Anolis sagrei: one gene and its partners. The main gene of each other region encodes a partner of the protein of the gene in region 3 in a complex. Links are inferred from orthologs where the notes say so. Each region holds a gene or a part of one and is shown on either strand. Other genes may lie near its edges.

The links.
Region 1: TAF1B (region 3) and TBP share a complex: the UniProt entries of both Homo sapiens proteins name them as parts of the transcription factor SL1/TIF-IB complex. The link is inferred for Anolis sagrei from reciprocal best matches to the Homo sapiens genes TAF1B and TBP.
Region 2: TAF1B (region 3) and POLR2F share a complex: the UniProt entries of both Homo sapiens proteins name them as parts of the pol I pre-initiation complex. The link is inferred for Anolis sagrei from reciprocal best matches to the Homo sapiens genes TAF1B and POLR2F.
Region 4: TAF1B (region 3) and TAF1D share a complex: the UniProt entries of both Homo sapiens proteins name them as parts of the transcription factor SL1/TIF-IB complex. The link is inferred for Anolis sagrei from reciprocal best matches to the Homo sapiens genes TAF1B and TAF1D.

The regions. Positions count from the first base shown.
Region 1 is NC_090021.1:62,172,179-62,180,456, forward strand, and holds the start of TBP (TATA-box-binding protein), read right to left. Parts: upstream 3,257-8,278; 5' UTR 3,019-3,256; intron 2,317-3,018; 5' UTR 2,161-2,316; coding exon 2,107-2,160; intron 1-2,106. Other genes in the region: PSMB1 (proteasome subunit beta type-1), read left to right, coding at 3,456-3,562, 6,103-6,210, 7,622-7,703. UniProt on the Homo sapiens protein: The TFIID basal transcription factor complex plays a major role in the initiation of RNA polymerase II (Pol II)-dependent transcription.
Region 2 is NC_090025.1:164,562,977-164,570,864, forward strand, and holds the start of POLR2F (DNA-directed RNA polymerases I, II, and III subunit RPABC2), read right to left. Parts: upstream 3,300-7,888; 5' UTR 3,215-3,299; coding exon 3,195-3,214; intron 1-3,194. Other genes in the region: C5H22orf23 (UPF0193 protein EVG1), read left to right, coding at 3,339-3,363, 6,260-6,373, 7,492-7,554. UniProt on the Homo sapiens protein: DNA-dependent RNA polymerase catalyzes the transcription of DNA into RNA using the four ribonucleoside triphosphates as substrates.
Region 3 is NC_090021.1:130,630,412-130,638,538, forward strand, and holds the start of TAF1B (TATA box-binding protein-associated factor RNA polymerase I subunit B), read right to left. Parts: upstream 3,411-8,127; 5' UTR 3,275-3,410; coding exon 3,257-3,274; intron 1,141-3,256; coding exon 1,042-1,140; intron 1-1,041. UniProt on the Homo sapiens protein: Component of RNA polymerase I core factor complex that acts as a GTF2B/TFIIB-like factor and plays a key role in multiple steps during transcription initiation such as pre-initiation complex (PIC) assembly and postpolymerase recruitment events in polymerase I (Pol I) transcription.
Region 4 is NC_090023.1:19,473,283-19,481,182, forward strand, and holds the start of TAF1D (TATA box-binding protein-associated factor RNA polymerase I subunit D), read right to left. Parts: upstream 3,635-7,900; 5' UTR 3,593-3,634; intron 796-3,592; 5' UTR 787-795; coding exon 731-786; intron 1-730. Other genes in the region: C3H11orf54 (ester hydrolase C11orf54 homolog), read left to right, coding at 6,301-6,358. UniProt on the Homo sapiens protein: Component of the transcription factor SL1/TIF-IB complex, which is involved in the assembly of the PIC (preinitiation complex) during RNA polymerase I-dependent transcription.

The DNA of each region.
Region 1 (8,278 bases), about 68 Mb from region 3:
CCTATAAATGCAGAGGACCCCAAGAGTATGCATGCTTCCTGATCCATGGCAACGGGAACGTCCACACCTTCTCGGAGGAAAGCTGATCACATTCGTCCAGAGGCCTGTGTGTGTATGAGTATGTGTGAATGTTTGGAATGTGTGCATGAGAGCTCTCTCTTGATGTGATTCTATAGTGATTGTATTTCAATAAATGTTACATGAATAGTGTTAAAACCAAATTTGGTCTCTAAAGTGTCGAATTGATCTAAACTATCTTACTATTCCTTGAACACTCTGCACAAAAGAACATTTATGTAGAGATGTGTAGTGCTGCCAATAACCAAACTAAGCCAATGTGGGAGCTGTGCAGTAATGCAATCTTCAGCCCCTCTTTTACTGGAACCCTGGGCTCACAGAGTTCTTTTAAGTTAGTGGTACCCAATCTTTGGCTCTCCATATGTTTTGGACCCCATCTACTAGGATTCCTGTAAGCCAAACTGAACTGGGGAATATGGAAGCTAAGATCCAAAACACCCAGAGGATCAAAGTTTGGCAACCACTTTAGGCAAAGCATATTTCTCATGGTACATTAACAAGCTATGCACACAGTTCAAATTACTGCTTGAAGCTAATTAAAGTGTATTTAGAAGTAAGAAGCCTTATATATGCTCTTGCATGCACTACTGCACCTATTCCAATGGTTCCAGTGACAGCTAAGATGACAGAAAAAAGATATATTTTATCTCCTTCCTCTACAACCAGCCAAAGGAGGCCATGAAAGAGACAAAGCAAAGAAATGTCTCAAAGACCTGTCTTGGCTCTTGTTCCTTTCATACAGACTGGTATCTAAACCTATGGATCTTGGACTGTCATATTCACTCTGCTCATGGATTATGGTCTTCTTGTCTGGATGTTCCCAGAGGGTTAGATTGGGTGATCATACTTTATCAGCTCTCACTTCAACACTGCGATGCCACAGGGCTGTGTGTTAAATCCTCAGCTTTACACTTTGTAATCCCATCCACCATACCAATATTATTACCAAATTCGCAGATGATACAACCATGGTGGGGCTTGTGTCTGAAGGGGATGAGTCTGCCTATCAGGATGATGAGGTGGATTGGTTGTTCTTGCGGTGCAGGGACAATAATGTGGTTTATAATATCAATAAGACCAAGGAGCTGATAGTGGACTACAGGAAGAACAGATCAGAAATCCAGCCCTGGTTCATAAATGGAGACCAAGTGAAGTGGGTGGCCATTTTTAAGTTCCTGGGTGTCACTATTAAAGAGGATCTGACCTGGGGCACACATATAGCAATGTTGGTTAAGTGGGCCGAGCAGAGACTATACTAGCTAAGACTTTTAAGGAACCAACAACTGAATGAAAAACTGCTGGTGACTTTCTACTGCTGTGCTATAGAGAGTGTCCTAGCCTACTGCATCTGCGCATAGTTTGGTAACTGCACAGTGCCAGATAGGAAGGTGCTCCAAAGGTATAGGCCCCATAGCCTTAAGAAAGCTCAGAGCATTATTAAAGATCCAGCTCTCCCAGCATATTCTTTTTTTTTTTAATTATTGCCATCTGGCAGATAGTACAGGGTGACAAAGACAAGGGCAAACAGACTGAGAGATAAGATTTTATCCTAGAGCTGTGGCTATGTTGAACTCCATGGTTTCACACTGATGTGGCATTGGGGGCTGTGCAGTGGTGGTTAGAGTGTGGTGGGATGGGTGGTTTGTTTTTGTGATGTGTGCTGGGGAAGGCATTTAGTTTTGTTGTGAAATAGTACAATGACAATAAAGCTCTTCTATCTTGTTCCATTCTGTTCTTGTTCCCTTATGAGGATGGAAAAGTTGAGGGTGAGCAAGATCAGTACAAAGGAACTTACAGCAAGGATACCAAGGAGGTTGGGGAAGAAAACAGATTTGGGGACACTAGTTTTGCACTATAACTTCTAGACTGGAAGCTATAATAAAAAAAAAAACAGCTTTTCCAACTTTTTGTAAAAATAATGAGAAAGGCCTGGAGTTAAATAACACATGCAAGATTTCATTTCACTGTGTAAAGAACTGCCTTTGAAGGTTCTATTTCTTCATAAGTTGTAAGTTCACACATATTTACCTGAGGGGATGCTAGACCCTGGGCATAAGGTGGTATACTGTTGTTTTGATCCATGGCGGCGATCACGTCTCCAGCTAAGTGATGACCACAAGTTCAGGTCACTACAGCAAATTTAGACCATCTGCCTTAAGGAATCTGATGTCCTGGCAATGAGTTATGCAGTCAGCCTTGGCATTTCTGGAACTACATCAGCTCACAGGTGTCCAAAGCCTAGAAGGGAGAATGGCTCATGATACAGAGTTTGCAACAAAACTCAGAACACAGATTACCCCTGTGTTGCCTAAACATTTCACAAAATATTTCTTACGTACTTTCAAAAATAGGTCCATTACCAGCATAAATCTTTGCCAGTTCTATAGTTCTGCATTGATAAACCTCCCCCTCCCCCACAATCTCACATATAATTTCACATACCACATAGACAACATACATGGTGGGAAGTTACCTATAGAATTATAACAAATATTTAAACTTCTTTGAAAATGCAATGATTTCAACTCCACTCTGAAAGATTGTGAAGTAACAGCTTCTCAGATTACTTTTTTCATCTTTTTCTTTCAAACGTCAGCCCTCCTTCCAGGTGTTTTGGACTTCAACTCCCACAATTCCTAATAGTCTACCCCAGGCATGGGCAAACTTTGGTCCTCCAGGGATTTTGGACTTCAACTCCCATCATTCCTCACAGCCTCAGGCCCTTTCCTTTTCCCCCTCAGCCGCTTAAAGGAAGGGGCCTGAGGCTGTGAGGAATGATGGGAGTTGAAGTCCAAAATCCCTGGGGGACCAAGGTTTGCCCATGCCTGGCCTACCGGCTGCTTCTGAGCTGTTCAATGTCCAACCGAAGGAATGCCACTTGTTTGGGGGAGCCCTTTTCCTCAGCCACAGCGCACACAAGCAGGCCCCGTCCACACTGACCATTTATTGCAGTTTGAAGCTGGCTTCCAACCGCGGCGACCAACACGCAACTAACTCCCACAAAAACGAGTAAAGGTGAGCCCCAAAGGCGCCTTGTACAATCCCCGTCCGGGCCTCAAACTGGGATCCAGGCGCGTTTCCCGCTCCGCCGCCTTTCCTGCCCGACCTCAGCGGTGCCTTCGCTTCTCCGCGCTCGTTCTCTCAGGCGGCAGCGGCGCACACTTATCGCGTCATCCAAACACGCCCAATACACAACTCCCGGCTCGACACCTCCCATTAGTGAGTGGGGAGGAGTGGAAGAAGCTTGGAACGCGCATGCGCAACACAGCGACACCTGCAGGCGGAAGGGTGAAACGTACTGCCGAGGAAAGGAACTGAAGGCGACTTCCGGTTCCGGGGCGCCATTTTGCCGTGAGACAGCACCCCAAGGAGGAAGGATGCTCTCGACAGGTGGCTACTTCGAGCCCGCGCTCGGCCTGGATTGCGAGACGAAGCAAAGAGCTGCCGTGCAGAGGCGCTTCTCGCCTTACACCTTCAATGGCGGGTGAGTCCCAGGCCTTTGGGATTAGAAGGGGTTGGCAGAGGCTTCCCCTTGGCCGCCCAGCGGGGTCCAGGCCCGAGCCTTCAGCTATGGTTCTCAAGCTGTGGGTCCCCAGGTGTTTTGGCCTACAACTCCCAGAAATCCCAGCCAGTTTACCAGCTGCTAGGATTTCTGGGAGTTGAAGGCCAAAACGTCTGGGAACCCACAGGTTGAGAACCACTGAGCTATAGGATGAAGGCAGTTTCACCCCGCCTTGCCTGCCATGGCTCAATACTCTGGCATGATGGGCGTTTCAGTTTTGCCAGGTCTTTAGCCCTCTCTGCCCAAGAGAGCCGGTGCCTCATTGAACTACAGTATCTCGAATTCAATTTCATTGAGTTACTACAGCTAAGGCGGTGTCAAACTGCATTAATCCTAAAGTGTGTCTGCCCCCGTGGCCTCCAGAGTCTAGTGCTCAGACCACGATGTTTATGTTTCTCCAGGATCACAATGGTTTCACTTTCTCACTCGCTGTCACCTATTTCAAAAATTCTGTTTAGTTTTTCTTACTTCAAAATGTCCCCTGCAGTTCCTAAGTTTCCAACATAGAAAAAGCTGAGGGATGTGACCAGGGAAGCATTTGCACAGTTAAAACTTGTGCGCCAGCTGAGCCCATACCTTGGGAAGTCTGACTTGGCTATGGTAGTCCACTCTCTGGTTACATCCCATATAGACTACTTCAACGCTCTCTACGTGGAGTTGCCTTTGAAGACGGCCCGGAAGCTTCAACTAGTCCAACAAACAGCAGCCAGGTTGCTAACAGGAGCATACAACCCCCTTGTTGCGCCAGCTCCACTGACTACCGGGCCCAATTCAAAGTGCTGGCTTTGGCCTATAAAGCCCTATATGGTTCTGGCCCAACTTGTAAGGGGAGAACGTGTCTCCCCTTACAAACCATCAAGGACTCTAAGATCGTCTGGGGAGGCCCTGCTCTCGGTCCCACCTTCGTCTCAAGTACGCTTGGCGGTGACTAGAGACAGGGCCTTCTCAGTGGTGGCCCCTCGCTATGGAATACCCTCCCTAGGGAGATTAGATCTGCTCCCTCCCTCTTAACGTTTCGGAGGCGAATTAAAACATGGCTGTTCGAGCAAGCGTTTACAAATGCAGAGTAGCTAATATAGGAAATCAAACGATTTGACAATGGAACTGTACAGTGCTTGATAATAATGAGACGCTAATGTTGTTGTTTTCATTGCTTTTGTGGGGTTTTATATTGCTTAATATTTTAATCTGTGTTATGTTTTTATATGTACTGATTTGTTGGAAACCGCCTTGATTCGCCGATTGGCTGAGAAAGGCGGTATACAAATACAATAAATAAATAAATAAATGTGGTTTAAACTAGCCTAATGAATTCCTATGCACACTACATATCTTATTTGTAGTGCAAAAATCACTTTAAAACAATACAATAATTAAAATGAAGAACAATTTTAACAAATACAAACTTATTAGTATTTCAATGGGAAGTGTGGGCCTGCTTTTGGCTCATGAGATAGGATTGTTGCCGTTGTTGTTGTGTGCTTTCAAGTCGTTTCAGACTTAGGTTGACTGTGAGCGAGGGCCGGGTAAATGACCTTGGAGGGTCGTATCCGGCCCCTGGGCCTAAGTTTGAGGACCCCTGGTCTGATCTGTGTAAGTTCATTAGGACTAATAAAGATATTCTATACCCCTTCCCTCCTTGTCTGGACTTTTCTTCTGGACCTGAGGGCTGCCTCATTCATGAAGACCCTCCCCCCCTCCCAAAGTAGTACTGTTGCTCAGGCATGTAGTAACTTTTATTCCATTGCTTCATATAAGTTCATTTTCTTGAGAACCATGGCTAATAATAATGCAGCTCCAGATATTAAACTGCAGGTCTGAGTGGACCTGAACAGTTTAGGCAGAGGTGATAAATCCTGTGAATTTCAATTCTGCAGAGCCCTGGTGGTCTTCATAGTTGTCTTTTGTTGAAATTATTGGGATTTAAATGTACACAGATGGAACCTATGTTACTTGCTAATACTTTTCTAACTAGTGGTAGTTGCTAACACTATTTCAGTTGCCCAAACTGGGATAACAGCATAAGGAAAATATAGCTAACATCTTAAACATTGGCAGTTATTTATCCAGAAGCTGGAATTTCATGTGGATTCTGAGCACTACATTTAAGTTGTGTGCCTTCTTTTTCTCTTACATGTTTATTTTGGAACCTCATACATTTCCTAAGGACAGTGGGCTTTTTCCATGAGAGCTCAATTGCCTTACTACTTCATCTAAAAACATATTCAGGAAAAATTCAAAGAAAATCCTGGCATTAAGTACAGCATCTCCAAACCACAATCTTGAGCATTTTACTCTTGTGCATGGCAGTTTCAGACCACCCACCTTACTTTGGAACACTAGAGAACACAAAGTTAAACTTGTTTTTGGAGTCTTTTGATTTCAGGTTACATATATTAATTAGTTTAGCTAACATAAAATTAGCAACATCTTGCATTTTCTGTCTTTTTTTTTCTTGAAAGGACTATATTGGCCATTGCTGGTGAAGATTTTTCTATTGTTGCCTCAGACACTCGATTGAGTGAAGACTATGCTGTTCACAGCCGGGATAGTCCAAAATGCTACAAGCTGTAAGTTGAAATTATGTTATTTTGTTTACTCTTCATAATTGGAATCCTGTTAGTGAGGTGTGTGTAAATGCTGTAAATCTTCTACAGATGAAGCACATGGTGCTATTCTGTAGGCCTCTGTGCAACATCCAACATTGCTTATCCCTTTGACAGCTGTCAAATTTTAGGGAGTGAGCATAGAAGCTGCTGCTTATCCATGGAGAAAGGAGAGAGCAGGGAGGCAAGTCAACCATAATTCTAAGGGGAAGAGTGTTCTCTCATTTCCTTCCTCCATCAAGTCCAAGCAATTGGTCAGTTTCTGAATTGCCACTTTGCGTGCTCTCTCTCTCTTTCTTTTGCACAGGTAAGAAGCACAATCAGCTTTTTACAGAATTGTACAGTTCTGGTGGGGAGACTTGGGACAGGATAGGCCTTTGTAACCTACCAGAAAAAGATATATGCTGGTGTGTATGGCAGGCGTGGAACTGTGTGGGCAAAGCTTTCTGCTGTTTCTGCTTGATGTATGACCCATGGCCTTGTTTGTGAATGCTTGTTTTGATTTCTTACAAGCACAGCTGTAATATTTGCTGAACTACCTTTCTACATATACCTGTTTTGTGGAAATAATAAATACTTTCCTTATCTCTTTAAATTTTGTGAAGAATCTTGCCCTTTTGTGGCTTTGAGTGGATCAAATGCTGCCCAACACCAAGGAGCAGCAGGAACTGAGAACAGTTTCACTTTTGATATCAAGAGTGTCTTGATCTTTTAATGTTTTAATTTTGGCCAATGTTCTTTAAATTGAAACATGAACATATATACTTTAAATGTGTATATGTTTCAAGCTGCTACTGCAATTTTCTTTTAAGTTCAAAACCTCTCTATTTTTAAGCCCAAACTTCTTGACTTCTTCCCTAAAATCTTGATAGAGTTGACTTGTAGATTACTTAGGTAAAGTGAATGTTTATTCAAAATTATTTCAGTACATGTTACCACAGGGGTGAACAATCTAGACAGGATACATTTGTGGAGTAAGTTGTACATCTAATGTCACTATACCTTGCATAACTTAAAATTTAATGAGCAATATTAGGATGCCACAGGATATACTTAGTAAATGCCAGCACAGGGCTTACACTGACCATTTAATGTGGATTCAAAGTGGTGTTAAAGAAAGTGGTTTTGCTGTGTAGGTGATTACATAGGAAATCCTGGAACCAGTTTGAGGCTGGGAAGGTGATTACATACAACACTGAACATCCTGTTAAATTTTACTTCCTGTGATGTTTTAAGATAAACTATATGAAAATAATGCTTGATTCTGAATGATACTCTTATTTGGCTTCTCCAAGTGCTTTAATGAATGACCTATATAAGAAAAGATATCAAGATGACTAAAAAGAATATCCATTTTATGTTTGTGTTTATGTAGGACAGACACAACAGTTATTGGCTGCAGTGGATTTCATGGAGATTGCCTTACGCTTACTAAAATCATTGAGGCAAGATTAAAGGTATGAGATTATGAATGTTTCCAAATGAAACTGACCGAACATTTGCCACGGATCAGCAAAGAAAATGATAGCTTAAAATGGCATTGTATCCAGTGGTATTGTTCTGCTTTTATCCTTCCTGGAGTCTTGTCTTTATCCTTACAGAAGGGTCAAATCTTGTACTTGGGATTATGTTTTCATAAGTCATTTCATATGTACTTTGACCATTTGTTGTGACTTCTGTAAAACTAAGTTTTTTTGTGCATTCGTTCTGTTGAAGGAATGGTCAAGATGTATTCATGGTTCCACATATAGTTCACCCGTGGTGAGTTGTGTTCCCCTTGACTCCTTCCAATTTTCTAAACTACCCTTTTTTGCCCTACTTGTTCCTTCAGCAAGTGGCTAGCAGTGGCATTTTAGCTTTCAACCAATGTTAAACAATTTGCACCTCAGCTATGGTCAGCCTTATTTTAAATTGCCTCATCTTTGGTGATAAATGAATACCGTATTTCACTGCATAATAGTCACACTTTCCACTTTTAAAAGTGTGGGCTGGGAGACTATTGTGCTGAGAAATTTCGGAGGGCTACAGGGCT
Region 2 (7,888 bases), on a different chromosome or scaffold from region 3:
TAAAATGTTCGTATTCCTCAGGGATTGGCGCGACCGATGTGATCATGTCGTCTAACATGTGCGATTATTGTCATGGTTGGTCCTGAAAAGGACCGTTGGTTGTTTTGCTTCCTTGTTTGCATGCTTCAAGTCGTCTCTGGTTGCTTCTGGGTTGAGAGAATCGGCCGTCTACGAAGACGTTGCCCAGGGGACGCCCGGATGTCTTGCAATCCTGCGAGGAGGCTTCTCTCATGTCCCCCTATTAAGAAGATTTCACCTCACATTCCGTCCCTGTGATAATTGAAGTGTGAAAAATTGGGCTTGTTCTGGAAACAAGAATTGGTGATAAAGACACCTTTTCCCCATGATGCTCTTTCAGGAGTGAATTTCCCTTCTGAGGGGTATATTTCTCTCACTTCCTGTTGTCTCACCCCTGTTCTTAAGTATGAGTCATTTGTAGGCCAGATGTTTGTAACTCGGGGACTGCCTGTATTTAAAATGGTATATTACCTCTGTGTGTGCATAAAAAGACTCAGTACCGGCAGTCCTTTTGACTCCACTTTAACTGACATGGGGTCCTTCCAGACAGGTTCTATATCCCAGAATGTGATCCCAGGTTTTCTACTTTAAACTGGTTGAGTTCATACTGCCAGATAACCTGAGATAAACCAAAACCCTGGGATCAGATCCTGGGCTATAGGGCCTGTCTGGAAGGGCACCTTGGTTGCATCTCATGCAGTTTTATGAAGCACCTAATCCCATGCCCTCTCTCCATTACTGCAGATGGCACTTATTTTATTTCAATGTTTACACCCTGGCCATGGTGCCAGTAATTTACTGTCATGGTTAGAGGATCGCAGCTTGACTGAATCTGAATTTTATATGTACAAGTGTTTTATTTTATTGTATTTTGTATTGTGTTCACTTTTATGTTGATTTTTAGGCACTTTGTGCCATCTGTAAGCAGCCCTGAGTCTCTTCGGGGAGATGCTGGCGTGATACAAGAATAAAGTTGTTATTGTTATTATTATGATGAAGGACTCCAGCCTTAGGGTGTATCCACACTGTAGAAGCAATGCACTTTGTAATGGCCATGGCTCAGTGCTATGGAATCCTGGGACTAGCCACTTCGTCACACTAGAGAAAAAAATCCACTTCAAATCCGGTTTCTTCCCCCTGCAGAATTCTGGGATTTGTAGTTTAGTGAGACTGTTAAAGTCCCTAAATTCTGCAAGAGGCAGAAATTGGATTTTATCTCTAGTATGATGAGGTCTATGTTCAGTGCCTTGAATAGCTTCCTTAAAACTAGAAGTAGATCTACCAGTCTTGCTCGTATTTTATCTCATCACAGTTTTTAAATGGTTTTATCCTGTACATGTGGCCTGCCCACTGTTATCGTTATTGTGATTGTGTTTATTAGAATGTTATTTTAAGACTGCTTTTTTTCTTATTATTATTAATGTGCTTTGATGTTGTCATTTGTTGTTTATGTTTTGATTTTATTGCTGTAATATGTTGTCCAGGCTTGGCCCTGTGTAAGCCGCTCTGAGTCCCCATTGGGGAGATGGTGGCGGGGTATAAATGAAAATTAATATTTATTATTATTATTACTGGTCTGGAAGCCACCAGCCACAACTTCATGCATGTCAACAAATTTGGACCCTTCAGGTGTTTTGGACTCCCACAATTCCTTAAGCGGCTGAGAGGGGGAAAGGAAGGGGCCTGAGGCTGTTAGGAATTGTTGGAAAGAAAGTCCAAAACATGTAGAAGGCTCATGTTTGCCCACGCCTGCTGAATGCACCACTAACTGCCATGGCTCAGTGCTAGGGAATCCTGAGACTTATACCAGGCCTTCGGGCAATTAGGTTAAAGGACAATTCATAATATTTGACTATAGCTTGGAAGTGGATTTGGATAAGTTAAGTGGAGTAATCATTAGTATATGGCTAGATAAATAGCCACCAACAGCTAAATGGATCGCAAGTATACTGTTTAATCTTTATTTATTAATGTTCATGTTTTTAATTGTTATATTTGCTATTTTGTATTTTATGATGCGGCATTGAATTATTGCCAATTGGAAGCCGCCCTGAGTCCCCCTAGGGCAGTGGTTCTCAACCTTCCTAATGCTGCGACCCCTTAATACAGTTCCTCATGTTGTGGTGACCCCCAGCCATAACATTATTTTAGCTGCTATTTCATAACTGTAATTTTGTTACTGTTCTGAATTGCAGTGTAAATATCTGATATGCAGGATATATTTTCATTCACTGGACCAAATCTGGCACAAATACCTGATAGGCCCAAATTTGAATACAGGTAGGGTTGGGGGGGGGGTTGATTTTTCATTTGGGAGTTGTAGCTGCTGGGATGTGTAGGCCACCTACACTCAAAGAGCATCTTGAACTCCAAAAACGATGGAATTGAACCAAACTTGGCACACAGAGCTCCAATGACCAACAGAAAATACTGGAAGTGTTTGGTGGGCACCGGCCTTGAGTTTTGGAGTTGTAGTTTACCTACATCCAGAGAGCACTGTGAACTCAAACAATGATAGATCTGGACCAAACTCAGATGCTCAATTATGCCCAACTGTGAACACTGGTGGAGTTTGGTGAAAATAGATCTTGACATTTGGGAGTTGTAGTTTCTGGGATTTATATTTGACCTAAACTCAGATTATTCTGAACCCCGCCAACAATAGAATTGGGCGAAAACCTCCCACAGAGAAGCCCCATGACCAACAGAAAATACTGTTTTCTGGTGGTCTTTGGCGACCCCCCCCCCCCCCCAGGTTGAGAAACACTGCCCTAGGGGTTGAGAAGGGCGGGGTAAAAATGTTCGAAATAAATAAATAACAAGGACTTTGGCTTTATCTGCCAAAGAGACCTGGTGCCTCACCTAACTACAACTCTCCGGACTCCATAGCACTGAGCCATGGCAGTGGTGTAGTGAACTAATTCTGCAGTGTGGAGCAGGCCTCCTCACACCCCCGCTGTTTGGGCCTCTAACTCCCCGAATTCCTGACTACTGAGCAAGCTGGAGAAGGTTTCTGGGAGTTGGAGGGCCACAGTGCGAGGCCCGGTGTAGAGCCGGCTCTCAGTCAACTGCAAATCCTAGGGCCGGGCCCAGCTATCCTACCGGTGGCAGGTCCCCGGGGCCTTCGCTTCTCCCTCCCTCGCCGCCAACACAGACACAGAGGCATGCTCGCTTACTTATCCTCGTTGTCGGACATGTTGACACGATGAGGCAAGGCGCGCGCACCACCGGCTCCTGCTTAAGCAAGCATCTTCCGCGCGCGGGACTACTTCCGGCGTAGGCCTTGACGTCAGCGGAAGCGGGCGAGGGAGCTAGTTGCCATGGTGACGGGAGCCGCCGGCTCGAGTAAGCGTGAGGGAGAACCGGCGAAGAGCAAAAGGCATGTGGTCACCCCTCGCCACCTCTTGAGATTTGAAAATAACAATAAACTCCCTCAAAACTCGGATGGGGATTAGGCTGTTGTGGGGGGCTGATAAAATATGGAGATTATACAGTTGAGTTGTGGGGTGATTGTGTCTCCTCTTCACTCTTCCGTTTTGGACTTCAATTCCCAGAAGCCCTGGTCATCTTGGCCAACAGCGTGGAATTCTGGGAGTAGAAGTTCAAAACATCTAGAAGGCCACCTTTTGGGGAAAACCGAGGGTCCTTCTACACAGCCAGATAACCCAGAATATCAAGGCAGAATATCCTACAATGTCTGCTTTGAACTGGGTTACACTGCCATAGAATCTGGTTCAATGTGGATTTTATACAGCATTATGTAAGGGGCCTGAAAAGAAAGGCTCTTGCTTTATCATATATTACCTATATGTAATATGACATATTATGACATATTAAGGGGCGGCTCAACCCATTACGCAAAGTAAGCATTTGCAGTATAGTTGATTTTGCCCAGGGGTGCTCTTGGGGGAAAATAGACCTTGACATATGCAAGTTGTAGTTGCTGGGATGTATAGTTCACCTCCAATCAAAGAGCATTCTGAACTCTACCAATGATGGAATTGAACCAAATATGGCACACAGAACTCCCACGACAAACAGAAAATATATATCAGTGATTGGTTGGGGGGGGGGGGGGGGCAAAATACTGTTTGCTTAGCGTTGAAAATTACCTAGGGCCGCCTCTGGACATATTGTTATATATATGTCATATATATAATATGACATATTACACGTGTCAAAGAAATGACAAAATCAAATGAGGTCCCTTTTACACTGCCATATAATCCAGATTATCAAATCAGATAATCCACAGAATCTGCTTTGAAGTGGATTGCATGTGTCTACACTGCCATATAGGATTAAGTACATCTATATGCACCAGGGGTCCACAAACTTTTTAAACAGAGGCCCGGGTCACAGTCCCTCAAATTGTTGGGAAGACCAGATTATAATTTGGGGGGAAAAAATGAATGAATTCCTTTGTATTCTGCACATTTCTTATTTGTAGTGCAAAAAACAATACAATAATTAAAATGAAGAACAATTTTAACAAATATAAACTTATTAGTATTTCAATGGAAAGTGTGGGCCTACTTTTGGCTGATGAGATAGGATTGTTGTTGTTGTTGTGTGCTTTGAAGTCATTTTAGACTTAGGTTGACCCCGGGCAAGGGCCGGGTAAATGACCTTGGAGGGCTGTATCCAGCCACCGAGCTTTAGTTTGAGAACCCCTGATATGCACCCTCGCCTACCTGCAAATACCTGTTAACCTGCTGTTTACCATCTCCCCTCCAACAACTTTAGTCAATTTTTAGAAATTTTAATGAGATTTTAATGATTTACTATGTAATTATGTGTATTGTGTTATGTCTTGTTTTTTTAGTTGTTTTATAATTTAATGAGTTGATTTTTGTTTATTTATTATTGTCAGCATTGAATGTTTGCCATTGTGTATTTTGCTATAACCCACCCTGAGTCCCTTTGGGGCAGGCTATAAATAAAGTTTCATTTTATTTCATATACCGTAATTCAGTTCAAAGCAGATAATCTGGATTTTATATAACAGTGCAGAAGGGGCCTTAGAGATGAAAGAGACCAAAAAGGTTATTCCATTCCTCACATTAGAAGGGCAGTCCCTTTCGCAGCCCCATCCAGCAATTTATGTAGATTTATATGACATCAATTCATGCCTGATTCATTCCATTATGGAAGGTACAAATATGTCCTGTGTTTAATACTGTTTTAATGTTTGTATGTTTTAAGTTTTTATTTACATATTGTATGATTTTTAATGGTAGCTACTTTGAATCTTCTTTGGGGAGAAAAAGCGGGATATAAATACAAATAACAACAACAACAACAACATCATCATTTAGGTTCACTTTATTAAAATGGGTGAGGTGGCATAATAACTTTAGTCCACTCAAGCATGCGAGCCAAGCTGCATAGTATAAAAGAACTCAATCCTGTTGTGCCGTGGCACTGTCACTTGCCTGTCTTGACTTTAAAAAGCTGTCAGGATTTTTTGGGGACTAACCCTGAAAATCAATCAGCCTTCCATATCAACAGGTTCTGTATTCACAGAGTTAAACATCCACAGCTTGAAATATATATATAAGCAAATTAGTCCAATAAATATTTCAAATAGCACAGTTTACAAACAGCACATCTCAAATGTTGTATCTGCTGCTGCTTACAACTTGCCCAGTGCTCTCAGAACACATATCCACCCAAGTTAAAAGGCAGCTGGAAATAGTGGGTTTTGCAACCTTTTCAAAATGCAGCTAAGTGTTACCATTGCATCTCAAAGATTGTGCTATAGATACAAATACTATAAAGACCCTTCTTTATTTGAGGTTTACATATCTCACACTGAGGTCTAAAACAATTTGTGAGGAAGCCAGTATGGAGAGATTCAGTCTGCAAGTATGTGAAAGCTTAAGTTAAAACTAGCACTGAAAATTAGGTCTGGAAACACAGAAGTGTGGCTTATACATAATAAACACGAGCAGGACGGATTGCTTACATGGCAATCAGACCCGAAATGTGAGCAAAATTATGCACTGTATTTTCCAAAGTATGTCTCAATGTATACACTTTATATCTTTTTTAAAAAAACCTCTAATGAAGAGAAAAAAAGAAAAAAATCCTCAAAGTGATAAACTTTTAATGGACAAATGGATCCTACAACATCAGCTGATGATGTTGTAGGATCATGTGGTAGGATTGTACAAAATTCACCTTGGAATCATGATCCTGACAGCTATAAAAGATGTATTTCTTCATTCTTCTTTTCAAGGTATAACTATGACTTCCCGAGAGAGAAACATACCAGCTGTGGCAAAAGGCACTGGATTCTGGCATGCACCCACTGGGATCAAATACAGCCGAGAAACACAAGAACTGCTAAAAGGTACCTGGAGGGTGACAGGAAGATCAGAATGATATTAAGGGTGCATCTACACTGTAGAACACAGATTTACACCATTTTAATGATCATGGCTCAATGCTATGAAATAGTAGTAGTATTAATAATAATAATAATTTATTACCTGCCTCTCTTTGCGATTCAAGGTGGGGTACAACAGGTGGGGTACAGCAGAATGATAAAACACAACATTATTAAAATGCATATAACACAAAACCTCACCATGAAAATGTAGATTACAATTCAAAAGTTAAAATAATGAGAGCTGTCGTTTTACAAGGTCTTCAGCCTCTTTGCTAAAGAGTGCCTGGTACCTCACCAACTTACAAGTTCCAGGATTGTAACATTGAGCCATGGCAGTTAACGTGTTGTCAATATAATATATAGCCCTTGCCTAGCTATTATACACCCTGCTTTGCAGTACTGGAGCATGTGCTCACAGTGTCCTATATAAACTTCACTGTGCATATGGGTCTTCAGATCACATGCATATTTAAATAATCATATACAGCAGCCAATGGATATTGATACAGAAGTTTAGAAAAAGAGCAGATGGCACTGACCACTTTCACAGTCTGCAGTTCCTATCATATTGGTCACTTTTTCTCTGCCTTCCCATCTACAGGGAATCTGCTGTCTCTTTGAATAATGTAAGACTCTGGGTTAATATGGGCAACAATTTTATATAGATAATGTGGGAAACTGGCAGTTTTCCCCCTAGAGTCCCAAGTATCAGCATCATGTTTGTGACCTCTGGCTACAACTGTTTCTTTCTATTTTGGAAATTAGACAGCTAGTGGTTCATGAAACAGCATTTGTCCACTGGCAGCCACTTTGAGTATAGTCAGATATTAGCCTTCCCTATTGTAGTGATGCCCAAACGTGTTGGACAGCAAGCACTCAAACTCCATACGTATTTGTACCCTAAAACATGTGAAGAACACTGGATTCAGGAAAGCTGATATAAATGCTATATTTAAAGACCTTGATAGCATCTTCTAATTACCTGGAGACATTCCCAGAGACCAGAATTATCTTTCCTACACAGCTTATATTTATGTTTATTCCTGTGAAATTAGTGTCCTTTTTTTTTTGTATTTCAGTGATGATGCAAGAATCCAAGCTTACTAGCTTCCAGCAACGTCATCTCGCAAACTGCATGAAACGTGAGTTCTGCCAGGGTCCAACTCTTTCTTTACAGTTAGCTGCTGGTTATTAACCAGTTTCCAGAGTTCTAATTTTGGTTCACTCTCAGTCACATGAGCCATCCTTGAGCAAAAAAATTAAATCACACCCTTGGAAAGCAATCTTACATAGGCTCGAGAGGTCAAACAGAATGCAAGTGGAAATAAGTCACGAGTTAGGTTCACTCGACTCTAGTTTTATCCAGCTTTCTCTGCAGAACTTTAATGACAACTGTTTTGTGGTTCTGACTGCTGGTGAGTCGGGTCTTCAGCGTATACTGTAAAAGCAGTTTGGGATAGTTTTTTTAAAAATTAT
Region 3 (8,127 bases):
GAATACAATCACTGGCCAGTGCAGAAAAATATATAACACTATCACTTCCTTCAACTTGGCAATAACGCTTCTATCAATGTAGGCCAAAACAGCATTTGTCTTCTTTGTTGCAGTATCACACTGCTGACTCATGTACAATTTATGATCAAGAGTAATCCCAAGATCCTTTTTATTCACAGAACAGTTGAACCAAGTATCTGCCATCTTTTATCTGTGCTTTTAATTTTGTGGCCTAAATGTAGACTTTTACATTTGTCTCTGTTACACTTCATTTTATTAAGTTTAGTCCAGTTTTCCAGGTTATTTTGAATGCTGTTCCTGTCCTCCAATGTACTGACTACCCCATCCAGTTTTGCATCATTTGCAAATTGTGGCATTCCACTTGAGGCTGCCTTCCAATCTGAAGCAGAGCCATTGACAACAACTCCTTGAGCAATTATGGATCCATCTGATGGCATTTCCATCTATTCCATATTTAGACAATTTGCTAATCAAAATATTGTGGGGACTTTATCAAATAGTTTGCTGAAAGCCAGAATAATGGCACTCACAGCATTCCCACCACCTACTAAATTAATGACCCAATTAAAAAAAAAGATCTAGGGTAAGTTTGGAAAGATTTGTTCTTGACAAACCCATGTTGGCCGCTACTAATCACTGCATTGTCATCCAGATACTTGCAGACATTTTCCTTTAAGCATGGAAATATGACATGATTAAAATTAATTATGAATATAATGGAGTCAGCAGCAGAGGCTGCAAAAATCGGTCCCAAGTAAGCAACTGGAAGGAAAACAGCTTTTTATGCACAAATCTGACTTGGATGCAGACCCTGGCTGAGAATCCTACACAGTACAACAATACTCTTCTAGACTCTTGGGTGTATTTTTTGGCTGTAATATGCATCTGTATTCTGAGTCACTAATTAGTCAGAGGAAGATCATTAATAAAGATCCCAGACAATGCTGATGATTTAATTTTAAACTAAAGATTCACAGTTTAGGAGTGTGGAAGGGGATAACAGCATAGATCATTACTTACTTCTGTGACCGTGTGGCAAGATCTGCAGTAAAATTTGCCTTCTTCTGTAACACCCCAGTCGACAGAAATACATTTTGCACAAGGTTCATCAAAATCTCTCTGAAAACAATAAAATCAATTTTAATGTAAATACCTACTTTTCATACTAATCAAACACACTATAAACTGACATGGAAGTAAGATTTGAGAGAAATATCTCCTTTAAATGTAATAATCACACAAAAATCACTGTGTTCACTTAGAAATGAAGTGGATTGTGGTCAATAGGGCCTCCAAGTAAGTGTGCCTAGAATTGCACCCAAGTATTATGCACCTTTACCAACAAGCACATTCTATTGAGCATAGTGGGGCTTAGGCTTATATAAACAAAATGCATTGGATTGTGGTATGAAGCACCTAATTTAATTAGCTTTAGATTTCTCCATCTAAAGATGTTGTTTATAAACACTGTAAGATAGTTGGACTTTAACTAGAAATGTTGGATGCATACAGACTTGTATGATGAGCTGGACACCCCAAAGGACAGCCAAGTTCTTCCTATACAATTATAATTTACTGTTTTAAAAAATATCAATAGGGTATTGTCCAATTTCATACGTAGGTGTGGCAATTTTCTTAGTTTCCTTTTTTGCAGACATCAACAGTCCTGAATCCAATACATTTTAAATGGTGAATTTTAACTTTACATTCTACTTATATTTTAATATAGCTATTTGCATTGTATTTTAATTTATGTATTTTTCAATGGTGTGTTTTAATGTATTGATTTTATGACATGTATTTTATAGTGTTGTGTTTTGACTGTGTTGTTCCTCATCTCAAGCTGTGAGAAAAGACAAGTAACACATAAAATATCATTTTATTATTAATTATGTAATAATTGCTTGTATAGGCATGGAGCATGCACTTTCCCCCTCAACTTGGCTGCATCTTTTCTCAAAATACACATATCCTCAAATGCTCACTTTTTAGCATCCCATTTAAGGTGCATCTACACTGTAAAACTAATGCAGATTCACACTTTTTGTTGACATGGATCAATGCTATGGAATCCTGAGAGTTGTAGTTTTACAAGGCCTTTAGCCAAAGGGCTCCTCCATACAGCCCTATAACCCAGAGTATCAATGCAGAAAATTCCACATTATCTGAGTGTGTACTCAGGTAACCCAGTTCAAAGCAGATATTGTGGGATTTTCTGCCTTGATATTCTGGGATATAGGGCTGTGTGGAAGGGCCCAAAGAGTGCTGGTACCTCTCCAAACTGCAACTCTTGGCATTATGTAGCATTGAGACCCCTTCCAAAGTTGAATAAAAGCCCACGTTATCTGCTTCAGATAAATAAGCTCCAGCCCAGCTTACTTATCCGAACGTATCTCTCTCTATGTTTCACCTCATAATTTAAGATCTACTGCGGGGGCCCTGCTCTCGGTCTCACCAGTGTCACAAACGCGCTTGGTGGGGACGAGGGACAGGGCCTTCTTGGTAGTGGCCCCCTGCTTGTGGAATTCGCTCCTCAGTGAGATCAGATCGGCGTCCTCCCTCCTTACTTTTAGGAAAAAACTAAAGTCGTGGTTTTGGAGCCAGGCCTTTGGCTAGTGGGCACAGCAGCACTTTAGATACTGAACCCGGACCATAGGATTGTTATGACAATTGGAAACGGCTATGTGACTTGATTTGGCAACTTTGTTAGTATATAAGTATGTGATTTTAATTAATGTTACTGTTTTAATTTGCTATGTATTTGATTTTACATTGTTGTATTGATATTATGGCACTGAATTGTTGCCCATGTTAGCCGTCCTGAGTCCCCCCTCAGGGGTGAGAAGGGAGGGGTAGAAATTGTGTAAATAAAATAAATAAATAATGGAACATGTAGCAGTGTGGACTCAGATAACTCAGTTCAAAGCAGACATTGTGGGATTTTCTGCCTTGATATTTTGGGTTATAGGGCTGTGTAGAAGGGCCTGCTGTCTGCTCCACGTGGGTTTTTGCTCTCCTTCCCTGGGCCCTTCCACACATCCCAATAATCCAGAATATCAAGGCAGAACATCCCACAATACCTGCTTTGAACTGGGATATCTGAGTCCACACTGCCATATATTCCAGTTCAAAGCGGCTAATGTGGGGTTTTATTCAGCTGTATGGAAGGGCCCCCAGTATTTCCAGGGAGCGCTCCTTCTCCCCGAAATGCCCCCTTCCCTCAGCCTAGCCTCACCGCCTCCTCTTCCTCCATCGGAAAGTCCCTTCCAGACCACCGTCGATGGTCCCCGCGGTGCGAGAGAAGCCCACCGGATGAGCGGTCCGCTCTCAAAAACAGTCGGCCGGGAAACAACACTCCGAGTGCTTTGGTTCCGAGGCTCGAACCGCAGCGGCTTCTCTCTGTCGCTCGTCGCCCCCTGCAGGGAAAGAGGCGCGCCCTTCAAGCACACCCCATGGGATGCGTGTGAGAAAAGTGCATGTGGGATAAATCAGTCAAAAAGGCAGCAGTTGACACTCGCCTCTCTTTACCAAGTCATAAGCGATTTTGATAAGGAAGCCCAGATGGCAGAACATGTGGCCTAGTAAGTGTAAATGTGGTTCTTTTCGGCAACTGATCTTCCATTCGCCTTCCAGAATGGGAGGACATATCAACACAAAGGCTCCTTCCACACAGCTGAGTACAGGCCCGTAGCCAGGATTTCATTTCGGGGTGGGGGGGCCTAATTTTTTTTCAGGGGGGGCTGAGTTTCGGGGGGGGGGGCTGAGTCTGAGTGAAAGAGGGTCTACCCTAGCAAACCTTTTGTATCATTACCCCAATACCCCCATGCATATGGGATATATTGAGCATGGTGATCAGATCATGATATGAATTAACAGTTTAAATAATGCACCAGGAAGGCCTTTTCGCGAACCACCATGAGAATTTCGGGGGGGGGGGGGGCTGAAGCCCCTCAAGGCCCCCCCCCCCCCCCCCCCCCCCCCGGCTACATGCCTGGCTGAGTAAAATCCCACATTATCTGCTTTGAACTAGGTTATACCTAGGAAGGAAAAAGGAAGAGGGGCCGACCAAGGGCAAGATGGATGGATGGTATGCTTGAAGTGACTGGATTGACCTTGAAGGAGCTGGGGGTGGTGACAGCCGACAGGGAGCTCTGGTGTGGACTGGTCCATGAAGTCACGAAGAGTCAGAAATGACTGAACAAATGAACAACAGCAACAATATGGCAGCGTGGACTCAGATAACCCAGTTCAAAGCAGATATTGTGGATTAGCTGCTTTGATATTCTGGGTTCTATAACTGTGTGGAAGGGCCCTATATCCCAGGATCTGATCCCAGGTTTTCTGTTTATCCCAGATTATCTAACAGTGGGGACTCGTATAATCCAATTTAAAGCAGAACACCTGGGATATAGGACCTGTTTGGAAGGACCCTGGGTTATCTAAGGGCCCTTCCACACATATTCCAGAATATCAAGGCAGAAAATCCCACAATATCTGCTTTGTACTGGGTTATCTGAGAGCCCTTCCATGCAGCCCTATATCCCAGAATATCAAGGCAGCAAATTCCACATTATCTGAGTGTGGACTCAGATAATCCAGTTCAAAGTGGATATTGTGGGATTTCCTGCCTTGATAGTCTGGGATATAGGGCTGTGTGGAAGGGCCCTGAGTCCACACTCAGATAATGTGGGATTTCCTGCCTTGATAGTCTGGGATACAGGGCTGTGTGGAAGGGCCCTGAGTCCACACTGACATATACTCCAGTTCAAAGGAGATATTGTGGGATTTTCTGCCTTGATATTCTGGGTTATATGGCTGTGTGGAAGAGCCCTAAGACTCCCTATAAGGCCCCTTCCACACTGTCCTATATCCCAGGATCTGATCCCAGATTACCTTCTTATCCTTGATTATTTGGAAGTGGAGACTCATATAATTGAGATTAAAGAAGATAAGTTTTGAACCCAGTTAAGTCCCTTCCACAAAGCCTTATATTCCAGAATATCAAGGCAGGAAATCCCACATTATCTGAGTGTGGACTCAGATAACCCAGTTCAAAGCAGATAATGTGGGATTTTCTGCCTTGATAACCTGTGTGGAAGGGCTCTAAGTCAATGGCAGTTGGATTGGATGGAGGCAGGAAGGGGGAGAAAAGTCTACTCTATGTCCACACAAATTCTCATGGTGGTCTGCGAAAAGGCCTTACTGGTACATTATTTAAACTGTTATGTTTATTCATATCATGATCTGATCACCATGCTCAATATATCCCATATGCACGGGGGTATTGGGGTAACAATACAAAAGGTTTGCTAGGGTAGACCCTCTTTCACTCAGACTCAGCCCCCCCCCCTCCCCCCCCAAATCAAAAACTGGCTACGGGCCAGTTTCAAACCTTTTGATCAGGTGCCCTGAAAACAATAGTATTTTCTGGCTTTTGACTCAGGGCCCTTCTACACAACCCTATATTCCAGAATATCAAGGCAGAAAATCCCACAATATCTTATTTGAACTGGGTTATCTGAGTCCACACTGCCATATATCCCAGTTCAACACAGAAAATGTGGGATTTTATTCGGGTGTGGAAGGGGCCTTAGTTGCCTTCTCTCAACATGCCTCAGTTAACATTCAGTCCTTGACTGAGCAGGAAGAGAGACAATCAGCCCAAGGCTCTCCATCAATATGTCTTCTACACAGGCCTTCCTTGTTCTGCTCACATGTTCACCAGTTTGCCGGAAGGGGCATTAGTCATTCATTTCTAACTCAAAAGTAAATTTTGTTTCCGTTTGGAATGCGAAATACAGCATGAGCAGCCCTTGTCAGGAATTTCGAAATTCAAAATCCAAAATTCTCCAAAATCCAAAAGTGTACACATGAAATGGTGAAATCTTTGCTTCTTGACAATTTGAACTACACAAACTTGGCTTCATGCACAAAATTGTTTTAAAATTGTGTATTAAATTACTTTCATATATACTTATGAATGTAAAGTGTATATGAAACATAAATGAAATTTGTGCTTCGATTTGGATCTCATAAGCACATATATGCAAACACAGGTATTTCAAAATCCCCCCAAAATAATAATCTGAAATCTAAAACACCTTTAGTCCTACTGTTTCAGATAAGAAGACTCAACCTGTATATACATGTATTCTTTTTAAAAAGCACACACTCTGAAACCATTGTTATTGTATTTTATTTCATGGCTGTTCATTGTTCAATTAACCCCTATGTTCATCACTCGGTACCGATTCCCTCTTTCCCACTCACTCTTCCTTGCTCAAACACCAATTGGAGGAAAGCCAACCCTGCCTTTAAATAATGACATACACATATAACCAGTTATTCAACATATACAATTATATGCTAACCTTTGTCTATAATTATATGTTACCTAAGTATAAGGAGACATTGATAGGAATATGATAATGTTGGAGTAAGGAGACAGTCTGTCTTCTTGCTTCAGTTCACTTTTCTAATTAAGATTGTTATATGCAGTACACGCAGCTTGATACACAACTCAGATAAATACACGCCCGGTGGATTCTTCCAGGCTTCCTTTCTAATGAACAAGATTCCACTGCTAATATTACTGTTCTGGTTCCCATTTTCCCAAAGCCGAATAGACCATTGACACACACACTGTTTAGGTTTTGGTGTTAGACATGCTTAATTATAAGGAAGCCATTCTCTTTGGTGACATGTTAAATGTCAAGGCATTTGCTTTCAGGAAACAAGCAACCTGTGTCAAATAACACCTCAAAGTGTCTCTGCTAAGAGTTATCTGAGGAGCCCACAATTATCTCTTGCTCACCAAGAAGGTGTAGGACCTCGTCAGATGCAAGTCGTGTTTACCACCACCCCCCACCCCCCATTTCTATACACTTTAAAAACAGAGCTCATCATACGACACAAAATGACTTCTTCCTGTTGTCCATGGTAATCCATCTGTGAAGTGTTTTAAAAGTGTATACAAATGGGGAGAATTGGAGTCAGGGAGAAATATCTTCTGAGCTCCTGATTCATGCGTAAATAGCAGAAGGTGCTTATTTACATGTGGGATGGGATCTGTCAGATTCTTCCAAGTTACCTCATTTTAGTGACACCGAGGAATAGGTGTTTCTATGGGTGGTCTCCAAATGGGCATCAATGCTCCATTACTCGCCTAAAGTTTTGTTGAATAATCCTTTCATGGTAATTTCTTTTAATTAATGTAATCACCAGGAATTGCGCGATTTCGAAATATCACCACTTAACCATTCCTGTATTTTCTCCTTCCTTGAAACCTTGGCTCTCCAAATTGCTCCATAGCTATCTTCTTAACTTTTTTCCCTTTTTTATAACAAATTATAGGAAGTAGTAATGTGAGTCTTTTAGAAAGCCCTAGACAATTTATAATAACTTACTTTTGCCTTGAATTTGAGTATACCATAAGTAATGCTCATATCACATTAGTGATAAAAGTTATAATTTTAAGATTGATAATGTAATTCATTTTTTCATAACAATGTAATAACAAAATAATAATAATAATAATTACTACTACTACTACATAAATAGACATTATTACTCCTTTACGGTATTTAAAGTTCCATGAGGTTTTAGACTTCTGCAATTTTGAAATTTCCTCTATAAAAACAGGAAAAGCAAGAATGGGGAATGGACAGGGACTACACTTGCTCATGTGATATCTCAGAATGCAGATAATAGAAATGGTAAAAAGATAGAATGTATAATGGAGTTGGAAATGTTATCCGATTTCATTTCAAATGCAACAGGACAATACACTATGACAATACACCACGCATACACTCTTTCTGCAAACCATGGGATGAGGTCCTTACTAATAATTTGTTCTCATGAGAAACACTTGGCATATTTTGGAAAGAGGAAGAGATTGGGAGGAAAATCAGAAAATGTTGTCTATTTTTCAAAAACTGCAAGAGACTTACACAGCTGATTTTCCATTCTGCTGTACATAATCCATGGACTCATCTACTCTGGTTAGTCATTGTGGAACCAGTCCAAAGCCAGCCCATGGGCTCAGAAGCATCCACGCAAAATATCCCTGACCTGCGGTAGTGGCAGAGTGGAGTCTACATGGTC
Region 4 (7,900 bases), on a different chromosome or scaffold from region 3:
CTCACAATATATTCTGTACCCATTTTGTCGCATGCTCTCTTGACATTACGTCCTCTCCATAAACTGAATCAATTTTGTGATGAACCGCGGCAGCATTTGTGCCCTTTGCATTGAGGTATTACAACGCAAACTTCGCACTTGAAGGGAAATGGAATGAGGATGCTCATCTCTAACCTTCACATCAGTTGATGAGCTACTGACGACTGGCACTGCTCATTTGCCTCCGTTGGCTTCCCACACAGCAATACCAATTTCCCACAAGAAAATTCCCTGCGAGAGCTACATGCCTTGTAACCTTATTTTCTGGATAACCCTACTAAAAGCAGGATATAAATAAAAATATAGTATCTCCCATCAACCTAATCTGGTAGAACAATTTGATATGCTGTATGGGGAATTGTGTTAGGAATTGTGGGAATTGAAGTCCAAAACACCTGGAGGGCCAAAGTTTGCCCGTGCCTGCCATAATACATAATAATACACTCTAGTAACTCAGAAGCATATTTCACCAACTGGAAGAAATCACACAGGATGTACAATTCTTCAACGACACACAGATAATATATGCAAACTGAATAATTTCAATTTTAGCAAAGTTGCAAGCCCTACAGCTAGAAACTTTTCTACCAGGAAGCTCAGCCAAGATTGCAAATACAGGTAATAGATGCAGCTGCACTTCAGAAACCCTATGACGACACCTTGCAATTTTATGTACAGATTAAGGACTCACTTTTTTGAATCCTGGTGATGTGCAGCAGAGTCTTCTGTCTCACAAATATCAGCCATGTTCAGCTCCTAGCATAGAATTGGGGGGAATCAGGAGAGAAATGTTAGTATTTTGAAAATCTTGAGAGCAAATATATTGCAAGTTAGAGAACATTTACAAAAAACAAGGAGCTTCCTCTTACTATTCAGATTCTAAAAGTTAATACCCTTATAATAAGTCTAAAAAAGAGGCATAAAAACCGGGCATTTTCAAAATATTGCCAGGCAATTCATTTATAGAGGCGGCAAAACTACAACCCTCATGATTCCATAGTAATGGAATCTCAAATGGTGTTAAATTGCATTAATTCTACAATGTAGATTCACCTCATATCTACTAAAACGTATGAATTAAGGACCTAACAATACAATCCTATGCAATAAATGATCCTCACTGACATCAACAGGTTTTTATTCTCAAGGGATTGTTTACAAGACCGGAGCCTCTCTCTCTCTCTCTCTCTCTCTCACACACACACACACACACACACACACACACACGTGTCTATACACATATAGTAAAGGTTTCGCCTGACATTAAGTCTAATCTTGTTCAACTCTGGAGGTGGTGCTCATCTCAGTTTCTAAGCCAAAGAGCCAGCATTGTCCATAGACACCTCCAGAGTCATGTGGCCGGCATGACTGCATGGAGCACCGTTTCCTTCCCATCGAAGCGGTACCTATTGATCTCCTCACATTTGCATGTTTTCAAACTACTAGGTTGCTAGAAGGTGTGGCTAACAGCAGGAGCTCACCCCACTACCTGGATTCAAACTGCCATCCTTGCGGTCAGCAAGTTTAGCAGCTCTGTGGTTTAAGCCGCTGCACCACCAAAAGGCAGCAGCTTACACACACACATATATAATTGAACCGAATAGGCTTATATTGCATTTCCCCCTATATATATTCTATATATATACACACATAGTGTGCATATAGTGTGTGTGTGTGTATATATATATATATATAACTTATTTATATCCCATTTTATTTCTCCATACAGACTCAAAGCGGCTCACCATCAAAAATCTTACAATTTAAAATATATAATTAAAAGTATATTATATATTATCAGGAGCAATTATATTTAATGCATTAGTATTACTATATTACATTATTATGGTTATTATATTGCATTACATTATAATATTATCAATATTATATGTATATACAATATATTATATTATTAGCATTGCACAATATTAGTATAATATGTTAATATTATTATATCAATATAAATAAAAATGTAATGTTCGTTTGTGGGATTAACATAATTCAAAAAACCACTGGGTGAATTAAAACTAAATTTGGACACAATACACCTATCAGGCCAACAAGTGACCATCACTCATAAAAACACTGAAAAACACAGCGGGAGAGACTTAAACCAAAAAATAAAAATTATATCCATATAAATAAAAATGTAATGTTCGTCTGTAGGATTAACATAACTCAAAAACCACTGGGTGAATTGACACCAAATTTGGACACAATAGACCTATCAGGTCAACAAGTGACCATCACTCATAAAAACACAGCGGGAGAGACTTAAAAAACCAAAAAATAAAAAAAATACATTACAACGCATGCTCAAAACCACATATATACACATATACACAAACATTTGGATACAATAAACCTATCAGGCCAACAAGTGACCATCACTCATAAAAACACTGAAAAACACAGCGAGAGACTTAAACAAAAAATACATTACAACACATTCTCAAAACCACATATATACACATATACACAAATACACACACACACAAAACACATATACACAGACTGGGCCACAGCAACACTTGGCAGGGGACAGCTAGTATTATTATAAGTATTATATTTCATTTCATTATATTATCAGTATTATGTGTACATACAATAAATTAGCATAGCACAATATTAGTATATGCTAATAATATATTATTAACATAGCACAAATTCGTGTGTGTGACTGTCCCTTGTGTATATGTGTTTTGTGTGTGTATGTGTGTGTATATGTTTGTGTATATATGTATATTTGTGTACATAGATGGTTTTGTGCATGCGTTGTAATGCATTTTTTGTTTTTTAAGCCTCGTCTGCTGTAGTTTTCAGTGTTTTTATGAGTGATGGTCACTCATTGGACTGTTAGGTGTCTTGTGTCCAAATTTGGTGTCAATTCGTCCAGTGGTTTTTGAGTTATGTTAATCCCACAAATGAACATTACATTTTTATTCATATAAATATACACATATATACTATATATATATATATTCTATATATAAATATATATATATTCTCTCTCTCTATATATATATATAAGTGCAGTATGTAAAAATAAAATATAAGCCTATTCAATTGTAAATAAAATATTACAATTGTTATATTTATGCATATTCTATTTGTATCTCTTTATTGAGATGCAAACATGAAATTATAACATACAAATCAATCAATCCATGCCATAAAATATGAAATTGAGATGCAAACATGGAATTATAAAATACAAATCAATCCATGCCATGAAATATGAAATATTAAACTAACATTCCAAAACTTTTGGAAAGCAAGTATATTGGATGATTATTTGGAGTGTAAGACTCCTGGGCCTTTCATTTAAGGGAAATCTGAAAGCCTAATTCTAGCCAAGGCCCATGAGAAGCAATGGCGCCAGAGGGGAGGAAACTCAACCTCGCTTTTCACCCCTTTATCTTCCCTTAATCACCCCGATATCGTACCCAAAATAAACAAAAAATATCCCTAAATTATCAATTAACAGGCCACGCTCTAACCTGAGCATTAATTCAAGCGGATGACAATGGATACTTATTCATTCACGACTCACAACAGTTCCGTTCCCGAAGCCAAACAAGGCCGAACGCTTGAAGAGGGCCCGCTTAAATAGTTTAGCCGTTCTCGCGAGAGTTGGGTTTCGGGGTTGACGGGAAGGAGGGAAGGAGGGCCGCGGGCGCGAGTGCCATCTTGAGAGTGGCAGCGTAGAATGCTGGGATTGGTTGGACCGCCCAAGCGGTAACATGACTAGAACTTGGTTAGAGAGGCTTCTCCGAGGAGGGAGGCTCGCGAGGAGCAAAAAGGTGGCGTTCTGTTCCCAGCAGCGCGTTCCAGTCTTGTGAGTAGTTTAGCATGCAAATGGGGGGCTTTGAGTAACAGGCATTTAATGCACTTTTTAAAAGGGATATTAATAGAGCTTTGAAGCATGTACAGAATTGTGCAAGTCTGCTAAATATTTGCCCAGTCTTTTGCACACAATCCCTTGAGTTTTTTGAAATTGATGTCAGTTATTCTCATTTCTTGCATAGGATTTGTATTAACAAGTTTTACTTAATTCATATTAATGAATTGCATCTACACTGTAATTTAATGCGGATTGAAACCACTTTAACTGCTGTCTCAATACTGTGAAAACCTTGGAGTTGTAGTTTTCCAAGGTCTTTAGTCTTCTCTGCCACATAAAGCAGGATACCCCATTAAACTAGAACTCATCACTCCATAGCATTGTGCCATTGCAGTTAAAGAGATATCAAATTGTTACATCCCCGAATAGACTACTGCAACGCACTCTACATGGGGCTGCCTTTGAAGACTGCCAGGTTGGCAGCCAGATTGCTCACCGGAGTGACATACGGGGAACATACAACTCCTTTGTTATGCCAACTCCACTGGCTACCGATCAGCTTCCGAGCACAATTCAAAGTGCTGGTTTTAACCTTTAAAGCTTCACTTCTGTGGCGAGAGAATCAACCGTCTACGAAGACGTTGCCCAGGGGACGCCCGGATGTCCCGCAATCCTGCGAGGAGGCTTCTCTCATGTCCCCATCAAGCAAAAAGTGGGTGCCAGAAACAATATCATACGAAAGCTGACTGGCACAACCTGGGGATCACAACCAGATACAGTGAAGACATCTGCCCTTGCGCTATGCTACTCTGCTGCTGAGTACGCATGCCCAGTGTGGAACACATCTCACCACACTAAAACAGTGGATGTGGCTCTTAATGAGACATGCCGCATTATCACAGGGTGTCTGCGCCCTACACCACTGGAGAAATTACACTGCTTAGCCGGTATTGCACCACCTGACATCCGCCGGGAAGTGGCAGCCAATAGTGAAAGGACCAAGGCAGAGACATCTCCAGCTCATCCCCTGTTTGGGTATCAGCCAGCACATCAATGACTTAAATCTAGAAATAGTTTTCTAAGATCTACAGAGACACTCGCTGGAACACCTCAGCAAGCGAGAGTCCAAAAGTGGCAGGCTCAAACCCAGCACCTCAACCAATGGCTAATACCAAATGAGAGACTCCCTCCTGGGCACACAGAAGACTGGGTGACTTGGAAGGCGCTGAACAGACTGCGCTCTGGCACCACGAGATGCAGAGCCAACCTTCAGAAATGGGGCTACAAAGTGGAATCCTCAACATGCGAGTGTGGAGAACAGCAAACCACTGATCACCTGGTGCACTCACAAGTTTTGTATTTGTTTGCTTTGTTCTGTTAGAAATGTAATATAATGGAGTCGTTGCTCTGACACGACAAATAAATAACCTTTAAAGCCCTAAATGGTTCTGGCCCAGACTACCTGTCCGAACGTATCTCTTGCCACGAACCATCACGAAGTTTAAGATCTTCAGGAGAGGCCCTGCTCTCGATCCCACCACTATCACAAACATGGTTGATGGGGATGAGAGACAGGGACTTCTCAGCAGTGGCCCCCCGCCTATGGAATGCCCTCCCTAGAGATGCCAGATTGGCCACCTCCCTCTTGTCTTTTAGAAGGAAAATCAAGACCTGGTTATGGGACCAAGTGTTTGATCAGTGAGCACAAATGAAAGAAGATCACACATCTTATGGCAATGAATTGACCCGGACTGGTTTTTGGATTTCGATTTTAATGGATGTGTCTCAATTAATTGTTTTAATTTTTAACATTTTGATTGTTCTGTGGTTGTTTTTATGATGATAGCATCATATGATGCTTTTGTTAGGCTGCCCTGAGTCCCCCTTTGGGGGGAGAAGGGTGGGATATAAATATAGGAAATAAATTATTTCTATGGTGTAGAAGCAACCTATGTTAGCCTTGAGAAAGCCAACAGTATTTAATCTTTTTTTGTCTTGGAAAGACACCAGCTTTGCTAGCTAAGAAGCTCATTACAAGAAATGGGTTGTCCAATTGGGCATCATGGAGGCTATTACAGCTTTTCTTATCTGATTGGATAATACTTTAGAATAATAATAATTCCGAACAGCCGGTAGGCTGTTCGGAATTGTGGGAGTTGAAGTCCAGAACACCTGGAGGGTTGAAGGTTGCCCATGCCTAGTGTAGATGCACCCCCAGGTGAAGACAGATGTACAACCTTCCTTTAGTCCCTCATAAAATGAAGGATGACGTGAGTCATAAGAAGTTTGTGTATACAGCTTGTGTCATTATGCTTAATCACTAAGCCAGTGTGTTCATTAACAGATCTTTGACTTGTTCCCTGGTGTACTCTGACCCTTTTGCAGCTTGCTTCAAATTTTACAAGGTGAAATAAAACATGGCCAAAGTTGAGAAGTTTGCTTTACACGTACCTACTTTGGAAGAACTTGTTGGGGGTGAGTATCTGCTTTTCAAGCATTATTGCAATGGTGTAATAAAGAGGAGAGTTGGCAGAGTTGCACTGCAAGAAGTATTGCAATAACGTAATAAAGAGGGAGTCGGCAGAACTGCATTGCAAGAAGTACAGTAGAGTCTCACGTATACAACATAAACGGGCCAGCAGAACATTGGATAAGAGAAAAATTTGGATAATAAGGAGAGATTAAGGAAAAGCTTATTAAATGTCAAATTATGTTATGATTTTACAAAATAAGCACCTAAACATCACATTTTACAACAAATCGATGGAAAAAGCAGTTCAGTACACGGTAACTTTATGTAGTAATTACTGTATTTACGAATTTAGCACCAAAACATTGCAATGTATTGAAACAACTGTGGATCCGGACGGGCAGCAGACAGCGTTGGATAATACAGAATGTTGGATGAGCGAGACTCTACTGTATTGCAACATTATAAAGATATGGGTTGCCAGAATTGAAGTTTATATCAATATTATTCTGGTATTATTTCAGTTTTCCAAGTTGAATTGACATTCAGATGTACTAATCAAGAAACTTTTTTTAAAAAAAGAAAGAAAGCTTTCTGCACTGTCAGCCAATGGGATTGAATATTCATTACCAGGAATGCTTAAGACCGTAGTGTTTGGGATTTTGGAATACCTGTAAAGACTAAAATATTTACCGTATATGGTGCGTAAGTAGTATTTTCAATAACAAGGAGAAGAAAGCAAAATGGCTTCAAACTACAAGAAAGGAGATTCCATCTGAACATTAGGAAGAACTTCCTGACTGTGAGAGCTATTCAGTAGTGGAACTCTCTGCCCCAGAGTGTGGTGGAGGCTTTTAAACAGAGGCTGGATGGCCATCTGTCAGGGGTGCTTCGAATGCAATATTCCTGCTTCTTGGCAGGGGGTTGGACTGGATGGCCCATGAGGTCTCTTCCAACTCTATGATTCTATGATTCTAGTATGGTATGTTTACTGGTATAAAATAAGGAGAAAACCTTGCATATATGTACATGATATAAACAGGGGTCTTTGGGGCCTAAAGAGAAACTTGGACCAAGTTGGCGAAGTAGCAAAGCTTTATTATCATACGATCCTGCAAGCCTCAGGTGTCTTGTCTTAGTAAGTAGGCACACATAAGCAAAGTTCAGCACATTTTTATATACCTTTTTTCCATATCCATTGGTCCCTCCTTCCATAAAGGGTTACAATCTCCTCATCTGCCTAAACACCTGCAGAGAAACTCCTTATTTGAAATGTGTTATCAAAGTTACAGTCAATAATGTCGATTGATACAGGGTTTTATCAAAGTTACAGCAAGGTGCATTCTGCACCTGCAAAGGCAAGTTACTCTATCACAGCTATTGCAAGGCCCGTATCTACAAAAAGGATTCATAAACTGGATAAATGTATCACTGATCTGGATGAACGTTAAAAAGGTTGTAACCTAACGAGTTTTGACAGAACAGTGTATGTATTCTCATAGCTGACTAGGTCCATTTGTAATTGCTGGCCATTGGTAATTAAATTT